Linked DNA regions of Macaca fascicularis. The protein of the gene in region 2 interacts with the protein of the main gene of each other region in a pairwise test. Links are inferred from orthologs where the notes say so. Each region holds a gene or a part of one and is shown on either strand. Other genes may lie near its edges. The genes, in order: ABI3, HOMER1 and C1H1orf116.

Region 1 (4,177 bases), on a different chromosome or scaffold from region 2:
TGCAAATTACCCTGTCTGTAAAGTCAGTCAACCCTGGCGGAGAACTCTGCAGGTGACCCTGGTCTGCCTTCCCTAATTCCCCATGGGTTTCCTAGCATCTGGGTGGTGTGGGGAGAGAGGGGCTGCAGATGGGGATGGAGGGTAGGGGAATCAGGCCTTAGGTAACAGCAGTTCTGAGATCCATAAACTTCCTAGGCATTTGCCTAGACAAAGATCCTCAGAAAGGCCAGGAAAGGTAACAGGTTGTGTGTTCTAGTAGTTATTGTTCTGCATGAAAGAAGCAGGAATCCAAGGATTCCAAGTTGGGTCAAGGCTTCTCACGCCATGTATTTTTGCAAGGACAGCTTCTCCTCCTTAGAACTGATTCTTATTATCCATCTTTCCAATGAATGATAATGATGATGATAGTCATGGTAAGAGCTGCCATTTATCCTGCTCTTCTGAAGGGGCTGGCACTAGGCTAAATGCTTTGATACATTTTTATATTGAACCCATGGAGCCACCCCTGAAGGCAGGCATGAGAATCAGAGGAGGAACTTGCCACAGTTCCTGTAGTTGGTAGGTGGCAGAGCTGGAAACTGGACTTAGGTCTTTGTGACCCCAAATTGTGTGTGAACACTGTGTGTGCAAATGAGAGCCCTGCGGAAGCTCTTTGAGGTGTGCAGAAGTTATGGAAGGAATGGAAAGGACTGCTTGGATCCTTGTCCGTAGAGGGAACATGCCTTTCTGTGCTAGGAGGATGCGTTGGTTTGCAAGCCTCATTCTGTCTCATCTGCAGGTGGTCATTCAACAACTACACAGACCGAAATGATACCCAGAGTAGCATTTTCAGTTAGTGGCATAGGGAGTGGGCTCTGGAATCAGATTTCTGGGTTTGAATTCAGGCTCTGACACTAGCTAGGAGACCTCTGGGAAAGTGACTTAACCTTTCCAAACCTCAGCTTCCTCATTGTGAAGTGAGAATGGGACTCGCCTCACTGGACTTCAGATGAGGATGAAGGGAGGCCATGCTGGTGACATGCCTGGCCCAAAGGAAGGGTCCAGAAAGTTTTAACTGCTGTCATCACTGACTCTCTTTAATCTGCCATTTCCCATGAGCACTTGTTCCTCATTTATTTCTTTTTTCAACATTCTTACTATGCTACGAGGTCTCTATGCCTGTTCTCATAGTTCGGTTAGTACAGGTTAGAAAAATAAAGTTTTGCCCAAGGGGTAACAAGGTTAGCCTGCAGCTCTTCAGGGAGCAGAGGAAACCGGGTACAGAGAGTGCAAATAAACTGTCGTAAAGTCACATAGCGTGTAGGGAGGCAGAAAGATGGAGAGGAAAGGGCTTGGCGTCAGGAGTCAGGTAAGCCCAAATGTGGTGGCTTACGCCTGTAATCCCAGAACTTTGGGAGACCAAGGTGGGCAGATCACTTGAGGCCAGGAGTTCAAGACCAGCCTGGGCTACATATGGAGACCCTGTCTTTACAAAATAAAATAAAAAAAATTAGCCAGGCATGGTGGCATGCGCCTGTAGTCCCAGCTACTCAGAAGGCTGAGGTGGGAGGATTGCTTGAGCCTAGGAGTTCAAGGCTGCAGTGAAGCTATGTGAGCTACGATCATGCCACAGCACTCTAGCCTGAGCGACAGAGGAGACCCTGTCTCAAAAAAAGAAAAAAAAAAAAAAAAAAAAGACTGGCCGGGCATGGTGGCTCACTCCTATAATCCCAGAACTTTGGGAGGCCGAGGCAGGTGGATCACCTGAGGTGTCAGGAGTTCGAGACCAGACTGACCAACATGGCAAAACCCTGTCTCTACTAAAAATATAAAATTAGCCAGGCATGGTGGTACATGCCTGTAATTCCAGCTACTCAGGAGGCTGAGGCAGGAGAATCTCTTGAACCCGGAAGGTGGAGGTTATAGTGAGTCGAGATCGAGCCATTGCACTCCAGCCTGGGCAACAAGAGCAAAAATACGGGAATGCCTGGCTCTGCTGTTTGGAGCTGTGCGGCCTTGGACAAGTCACCTCACCTCCCTGAGCTACTGTTTCCACATGTGTAAAATAGGAATTATAATACGTGTCTCACAAGGTAGTTGTACAGATTAATGAAATAACAGAAGTGATTTCCATCATGGCTAAGTTGCCTTGCCTCTCCTCCCTGAATCCAGGAATCTATACTCTCAGCCCCAGGACAACCACACAATTTAAAAACTGTTCTACAATGCTACCTCCTTATCTTTTGCTAGTAGCCTGCTCCCAGCAGTCATGTGGGCCATCCCCCTCCCTCTGCATGAGATCCCCTCTCTTTAGCCCAGCCTACTCTGCCTTATCCCCACTCTCCCAAACTCAGGGTCCATCTCAGGTTCACTGTGCTGTTTGGGAAGTTCTTCTGAAGCGTCACCCAGAGCTGGCCTGGAAATAGAATGATCGCCAGCATCTGTGTGAGGACGGAGGCTTTGGGTCTCTGGATCAACCTGGGGGACTCAGAAGGATGAACCTGCAGTGACATCTGAGAACAGGATGGAATCGCACTGTCTGTCCCAGACATCTCTGAGGCGAGACAGAAAGGGCACAGTGGGGGCTTGGGCAGTATGGGGTCAGAGTTAAGTATTGGGGTCTGGGATGAAGCTGAAGTCTGGAGTGGGAGGATTTCTCAGCCAAGGCCCAAGACAAGCCCTGTCAGGATGGCTCCCAGGGCCCCACTTGGGGCTGGGCTCAGGGTCCGCCCTCCAGGGGCTGGGGTGTCAATCCTCCGCCCGCTCTACCTACCTGCACATAGTTGTCCTCGCAGTAGTCAGCAACCCGCAGCAGGGCACTGTGGTTGCCCCTCAGAGCCTCCCGGCCCGTGGGGATCTCAAACTCCTGCAGCTGCTGTAGCTCCGCCATCACCCCCAGCCTCTGTCTGGCTCCCCAGGGAGCCCGCTCGTTTTGAGTCTCACCCTGCCCTTGATTGGTTGTTCTGCCTTCCCTCCCTCTTACTGCTTTTGGTTTCCTCTGCGTGAGACCCAAACCTGCTTGCAAAGGGCAGGCATGCTCATTCCGGGACAAGAGGAAGTCAGTCCTGCTCCCCGAGCCTGTGCCTCTCTGTCCCCTGCCCAGAGGAAGGGGGAAGCCAGGGGCCCATTTGGGGGCCCAGCCCCCAATCCCACCCAGCAGAGGAAGCCAAGGTCGGGGCAGCTGTGATTGCTCCCTGGTCCTGGAGAGGAAACTGGTTGGTGGGGGGATGGGGTGGGAGACTGGGGAGGAAGGGGGCTGGCCTGCTATAGGGGGTGGAGGTGGATTTTCCACTCATGGAAGGCGGGAGGAAAGGGCAGAGGGTGGGGGCTTCCTTGGGAAGCTCGGGGATGAGTCACCAAGGGACAGGGGAGTGGAGGGTGGATAGGATATGGAGACTGGTCATACCAGAGAGGACTGTGGGACGGCAGCACAGCAAAAATAGAAAACAGCCGATGTGGCAGCAAGAGGGGTCAGGGTTGGACACCGGGAAGACATGACCAGAGAGGTCCCAGAGGGGTGTTAGTAAGCCTGCGAAGGGTAGTGTGTGATGAAGATCTGCCCTACATGCTCTGTGCTCATGAAGGCAGGACGAGATGAAATTGACCCAGTGTAATGTGAGGAACTCAGATTAGACAACAGGAAGGACTTGGATTTGAGAAGCACCAGGTTCAAATTCCAGATCAATTTGTTGGTTTTAGGAAGCAGCGGTGGACAGAGCACTGAGCCTGCCTAGGAGGTATGGGCTGTAGTTCATGCATTAACAGGACACTTGGACCAGACGACGTCCAGGATCCTGTCCTGATTTCAAACTCTTAGAGCTCCCAGCTGAGAGTTGGACTGGGTCCTGGAGCAGGGAAGTTAGGATGGACCGCGGGCCTCCTCTCTGCCCCTCCTACCACCAAGCCTGTCATCCTAGAGACAGGAGAGTAAGAGGACCTCCCACCGACCATATTGGTCCCTTAACTTTTGCTCCTTCAGCGGGTCCCTTGTCATTGGATGGGTGTCAGCCAGAGCAGGAGCTCAATGTCTGTTAAATGGCATAGCCCTTGGGTGGTCCTTGGGGGAGAGCAAGAAAAAAACAGAATGTGGGTCCTGTGCTCAGGAACCCACATTCAGGACTCAGAGGGAGGTGTGGCAGCAAAGAAGCTTGAACAGAGGCATTAGAGGTGGCCATGCCCCAAGTACTAAGTGGCACAG
Region 2 (2,345 bases):
GAAGAGCCTATTGAATTTAATTCCTGTTTTGAAATACCTAGTTAACAGTTCAGAATATTGCCTTGTGAGGTTTGAATCAAGATGTGATTGATGTGTAGAGCCAGATAGAGTACACAACTCCATCTCTATCTGCCACGATCACAATTTAGATAGAGTCCTCTGATCAGCTGTTTGATGTAAATGGATCCCCTTTAAAATAGCTATACACCTTAAAATTATCTATAATAAACAGTTCCCCAATAACCATTATTATTCGTAAATTGAAATGCATTGATCATTCAGAAAAGATTTCTTGCAAAATATATAAATAAATGTAACTGCATATTCTGTAAATATACTTAACATTGCTAGACCAGACCGTCAATGACGGGCTGCTGTATTTCAGTACTGTGTGTCAAATTTATTAGAAATTTAAAAAGAAAAATTTCTGAGGGACTCAGCTGCCTTCGTTAGTTGGCTTTAAAATGTGTAATAAAATGGGAGACAGTATCTTCTCATAAATACATGGAATCAATATGGAAAAGTAAACTATACAACAGACAAGATTAGAGAACATCAGAGTGTACCAGAGTAGTCACCAGAGTGAAATATCTTCCAGCACAAAAAAGGGAAGAACTCTATACACCCAGTTATAGTATATTTCAATTAAAGATACAGCTCTCTCTCACTCCTGGCAAGAATTAATTGGTAATGGCACTGCTTCTCAGCAGTGCAAAAATATCCTGAGAAATTATTCAGATTACAACAAAAGACAGGCTTTCATCACTAAGTTTTTGCACAAAACACAGCTCTAGATATCGTAAATAAATTAATTTAAAAAGCAGATAATCTTCACTGTGTTGAACACAAAAAGGGGATGTGACCCAGACATTGTTAATTCTCCCATTGGCTAATATCAGGAAAAAAGATTGCATTAAGTGTCTATTTATAACTTTCTAGTTAACTATGGCCAATAATATACATGGAGGTAATTTGTAGTTCAAGTTTTTCATCTCTTTTTTCCCCAACTAGCTACAAGCTGGATTCTAAAATTTACAGTGAAATATACAATTCCAATTTTCAAAAGATCCTCCTCCTGGAGGAGTGATATTCAATTTTTTTTTTTTTTTTTTTTTGTGTGTGTGTGTGTGTGCAATCTTGATGCAGAGCCTAAACAGTCCTATGAAGAGAGACAGTGTATCTTTTAATTAATTGGCACTGAAATTTCACTTTCCTTAGCTGCATTCTAGTAGCTTGGCCAAGTTATCTCGTAATTCTGTTAGTTCAAATATTTTTCCATCCAGAATTTCTAAGAGTGTCTTCAGGTTATTGCGAAAAGCTTCTTGTTCATTCTGACTTTTCTCCAGACGTTGCTCTAAGTCAGACAGTTGTCCCTCCAGGTCTTTGTTCCGAATTTCTACTTCCTTCAGAAACAAAAGTGTAACATGTATATATGTCAATCCATCACTCAGAAAACAATACAACTCTCTGTTATTACCAATATTGTGGTAATCAATGCAGTTTGACAGTCAGGATGAGCTTCAGAATCTTAATTTAGAACAATTTAAGGAGATTTTAGACTTGGCCATCCCAGAGAGCAATACAGTTTTAATGACCGGCTTGGTTATCAATCAATCTAACTACTCAACAAAAATCTACTGACTCATTACTTTGTCCCAGGCAACACTCTAAGTACTTCAAATACCAAAACGGACTTGAAGACCTATTTATGGATCACTTAGATATTATTTTTATTGCTGTCCACCTATTTCTCCTAACGCATAATTATTAGCAAACACAGGTGAAAGCAGGCAGAGAGAGAGAGAGAAATTAACTTTTTCTGTTTACTGGCAACTCTAGAGAAAGATTTAGACAAGAAATTAACTCTCTAAAATGTGATTTTAGGATCCTCTGAATATGTAAATTATTCTTTACTTTGCCTCAATATCAAATAAATGTATATGTAGAGAGTATCACTCAGCTGCTAGAAACTGTAGTGAAGATACATAATAACCATACATAATAGAGAATTATAAGTTAACAGTTCCAATATATTACAAGCCAAGGAAAAAAAAATGATAAAAGGAAATCAAATGTTCATGACAACAAAAAAAAAAACACTAAACAATTTTTTTTTGACAGAATAAACTCTGGTACACTTAAAAATTATTTAGAAGTTATTACTGCTTTTGTTTTTGTTGTTGTTGATTTTTGAGATGCAGTCTCACTCTGTCCCCCAGGATGGAGTGCAATGGTGCAATCTTGGCTCACTGCAACCTCCACCTCCTGGGTTCAAGCCATTCTCCTGCCTCAGCCTCCAGAGTAGCTGGGATTACAGGCATGTGCCACCACGCCTGGCTAATTTT
Region 3 (4,137 bases), on a different chromosome or scaffold from region 2:
ATTCTCTATGAATGGGTGAGCAGATGATGCCTCTTACTTTCAGAGAAAATTGCTACCCTTGTGCTTCTAAGTATGCTTTAGACTTTACAGAGGTTTTCTAGTCTCTCCTTCCTACCAGCGAAGCCTATGACACTTTCGTTTCAGAACCTAGGATACCTTCAAGTAGCTGGAAGAGATAAAAGTGGTAGGAAAAGTACTGCTTCACAAGAACACAGCATGCCATAGCTTGCAAAGTGCTCTCAGATATGCTAATTAGATCTTCAGCATAAACTGGAAACATAGGCAGGATCTGACATTTTCTTCATTTTACAGGTGAGAAAGTTATGGCTCTTACCACTAGCCCTTCCTAAGGGACACAGGAAATGACCTATACTTGCATATACAGGACAGCCCTCCACGGGGCATCTCAGGGACTATCTGGATGCAAGAGGGGCATGCCCCTGAGAATGGTTACTAGTCACCCCTGACTAAAATACTAAAAGCCTTAAGACCCCCTTCTTCTTCTACTTCATACCTTAAACCCTACAAATGATCTGCTTCAGCTTTATACTTCCAGGCCGGTGTATTGCCCCAACAGCAGCTATTTCCACAGTAAAGAAATGACACCAACTGCCAAGGAAACTCATGTCTTTAGGGATTACATACTCCCTGCAGAGAGGAGTCTGAACCTGAAACCAAAGCTGAGTGAGGTGCTGTCACCTCATCTCCATACCTAGTTTTCTGACCTAAAAAATCTGAAAGGTGAAAGCTGCATTTCCTTTCACCGACTTCACAACCTTGAACGATGGGGGCTGTCTCAGGGCAGCCATCGAAACCCTGATAAGAAGACTGAGAAACAAACAAAACACTCAAGGTGAGAGTTTGGTATCTTTTAACCCTTGACCTCTTTGGGAACTTAATGGGAGGAGGGAATGGGTTAAGAAATATGTAGCACTTAAATAGTCAGGGCCATCCATCCTGAATTAAATATTAACTACTCCACTGACTAAAATACTAAATACTGCCAAGTCTTGGAGGAGAGGGAATAAAGAACAGGTGAAGTTCTGGCATCTGGAGAGGGTGGGGTGGAGAGAGGGCTCCAGCTCCGTTCCAGGTTGGCTTATCTGCACCTTCTAATCAGACCCAGGTCTCTCTCATCCTCCTCCTCCAACGAACTCACCCACATGTCCTCCAAGAGCTCTGCCTCTCTGCCTACTAGTCAAAGAGGTTTCCTATCTTTCAATCCAGGTGTCTCTGCTTCTTGTTGACTACCCAGAGATGTGCCTTGGGCTGGAAAATATCCTAAGAAAAATATCAGAAAGACTAAAACTTGCACAATGTGCATATCCGTCTCCATGAGCACATGGGCAAGTTTCTGTATGTGTTTAGGCAACATTATCATCTTCCTTTTCACCAGTAGATTTGAGGCAAGGAGCAGGGAGAAATACTCTCTGCATAGGAGAGCTTTGTTAGACACTGCTGGTGGTCTTTACTCCTAAGTTCACCATCTAGGGCAGCCCTCAGTCAGTGAGTGTGGGGTGCTGGCTCTGTGGTGTGAGGTAAGCTCAAGTCTGAATCTCCAGTTGTCAGGACTGGAAAACCCATATATTCACTCAGGACTGTGTGTGCCAGGCCCTTGAGCCTGGCACTGAGGTCTTCCCACTTCCCTCTTCTCTGCAGCAGGAGGGAAAGAATCAAAGTTAGGGACCAAAGGGTTAAACCCCCCAAGATGGATAATGGAGAGGCGACTTGCTACTCTGACTCGACTCCTACATCTGCCTTCCTTCTGCAGGTAAATCTGCCACACAAACTGCCAACTTGGACACCTGCAGGAAAACAAAACAAAGCCACCACCCTGGTCTGATTCTCTGTCTGTGGACTCTGCCACACTACCTTGGCCTGAGCCCCACTTGGAACTCTAACTAGACTTGACATGCAGCTGCGAAATATTCATGTAGGTGAGGCCCAGCACAGCCAAGTAGCTTTCTGTTTGCCAGTCTCTGCATCTATTAACAGGCAGAGTCAGAAAGTTAATTGAGTAGAACCCAAATAAACTTGGCTTTGCAGCTAGATTATCCATGGGTTTTCCAAAGATGAGCTGGTAGCTGGAGTTGAAGTTTTCCCCACATGCCCAAACCTTATATCCCTTTACAAACAACCTAGTGCAGCTCATGCCTAACACACCTGTCCACAGAGAGCTCCATTATCAAACGAGCATGATCAAACACACACACACACACTGCACCCATTATTTAAACAAAGATCGACACCGAGTTGGTAAAGCCACGGGAGAATTTCCGGTTATAATCGCGATGGAAAACCAAGATACTCTCCCCCGTTTTGACTCCCTCTATTTCAACTGTTATTTTCCAAAATCACAACTCAATTTCAATTGTTCAGAGATGGAAATTTCCAAAACAAATCTATTTTCTTTTTCGTGTTGTTTGCACAATATGCCTATCCAACCTAAGGAGGTAAATGAAAAAGAAGGTCCTCCCAGCCCCGGTCTCCACAAAAATACTACAATCTCAAGTCACTACCAACCTGATCTGACCCCAGAATGAACTCAGAGAATTGGGGAACAGATAGGAAAGCTCCCTAGCTTGGGTATAGAGGGACACCTTCCTTCCTCTGTAGTTCTGATTTCCCATGAAACCCCTTCCTCTTGCTGCAGGATAAGCAGTAGTTGGTTAGTGATTAACTCACCTCCACTGGGTTGGGGGCTGAAGACAGGAAAGAAATACCCTTTTATTTCAAAGGGCAGAGACGGAGACAGAGGCTGCTTCCCCTGCCTCCTACTGTTTTCTTCTCCTTTTGACCTCCTCCTGACTTACCTAGACAGGTAAATGCTTCATCTGTGCTGCCTGGCCCCCACCCTGCCACTGACTCAGCCAATCCTAGGCTCCCCTCCCTACCTCTCATTCCAGCTGTTTCCTCAGGGAGGGAATGGGAGGGGAATGAGCAGGGTGGTGCTGCTCCCTCTTAGCCAATCATCTCATGCCCTCCCCTTCCCTGTTTAGAGCTAATAAAGAGCTCTTTAAAAAAGGAGGGCTGGAAGGAGGAGGAGCTGGTTTGGGCTGAGACTGGAAGGACAGGTGGCAGGGAGGGAGCAGGCAGAGATAGTATATATATTTAATGTTGGTATAAAGGAACGCAGACAGTCCTCTGGGCAGTGTGCTTTTCCATAGGTCTACGTGAAATAGGTTTTTCATCTAGAACTACCTTCTTCCACTAGGAGATTAGTTTTCCCCTGAATTATCTAAGCTAAACTCATTTGTGGTCAGTTTTGCTGCTAGCTTTTCTAGCTGTTGAAAGTCACTTTCTTCCCCAAGCCTACTCCTAGCTCATAAGTCTGGCAATTCCATTCATGTTCACTTAGGAGGGTGTCCCAAGGCTAGGGTTGCTGTAGTTGGGCCAGTCTCGCCCCAGTGCTTGACAACAATCTCCTTGGCCTAATTTATTTCTGGGGAAATAAAACCATTCATCCCCTGAGAGGTCCCTATCCTGATGGAGGAGTGACTGGACAGCTTGAAAGGGGAGAGCATGCACTCTGTCATTTGGTCCTCTGCTCTCTTTTAGTTGTTCATGGAAGGTGGCAATACATATTATGAAATAAAAACAAAACAAACTTCTAACCAGTTTAGCAACTCCTACCTCCTTTCGTGGACTGACATTTGGCACTTGTAGGGAGAAGAGAGTAGGTAGAAGAATCTACTGCTTTTGGGAAGAAATCTCCCTCCAAGTACAGAGACCACTCTTATCAGATATGATTTTTGACTGGAAGCTGGTTTTTCCTAGAGGTTGGTTATCCTTGACACCTATCAGGATTTGAGGTATTCCACTTACTAGCATTAAAAGGGCAGGGAGAAAATTTAAAATCAATGTACACAATAATTGCCAAAATTTATTAGGTTCTTGCTATTTGCTAGGTATTGTGCTGAGCGTTTTCATGTATCTTAGTCTTTAGTCTTTAACTTAAAAAAGTAGACATTTATTAATATCTAAATTTTACAGGGAAGTTAAAAAACTTTTTCAAGGCCATGTAGCTAGGAAGAGGCAGGGTGGGGATTTTAATTCAGGCAATATAACATCAAGATTGCCATGAATCAGCATAATGCCAATCTGCCTCTGTTTTGGAGAGAATCTCAAGTGGAAATC

Evidence for each region.
Region 1: the proteins of HOMER1 (region 2) and ABI3 interact in binary tests that used the Homo sapiens proteins (3 or more experiments, as listed by UniProt). The two-hybrid records come from large-scale screens. The link is inferred for Macaca fascicularis from reciprocal best matches to the Homo sapiens genes HOMER1 and ABI3.
Region 3: the proteins of HOMER1 (region 2) and C1H1orf116 interact in binary tests that used the Homo sapiens proteins (3 or more experiments, as listed by UniProt). The link is inferred for Macaca fascicularis from reciprocal best matches to the Homo sapiens genes HOMER1 and C1orf116.

Annotation. Positions count from the first base shown.
Region 1 is NC_088390.1:57,504,452-57,508,628, forward strand, and holds the start of ABI3 (ABI gene family member 3), read right to left. Parts: upstream 2,888-4,177; 5' UTR 2,870-2,887; coding exon 2,753-2,869; intron 1-2,752. UniProt on the Homo sapiens protein: May inhibit tumor metastasis. In vitro, reduces cell motility.
Region 2 is NC_088380.1:83,351,014-83,353,358, forward strand, and holds part of HOMER1 (homer protein homolog 1), read right to left. Parts: intron 1,404-2,345; coding exon 1,215-1,403; 3' UTR 1-1,214. UniProt on the Homo sapiens protein: Postsynaptic density scaffolding protein. Binds and cross-links cytoplasmic regions of GRM1, GRM5, ITPR1, DNM3, RYR1, RYR2, SHANK1 and SHANK3.
Region 3 is NC_088375.1:64,856,896-64,861,032, forward strand, and holds the start of C1H1orf116 (specifically androgen-regulated gene protein), read right to left. Parts: upstream 2,869-4,137; 5' UTR 2,814-2,868; exon of another isoform or gene 2,686-2,813; intron 1-2,685. UniProt on the Homo sapiens protein: Putative androgen-specific receptor.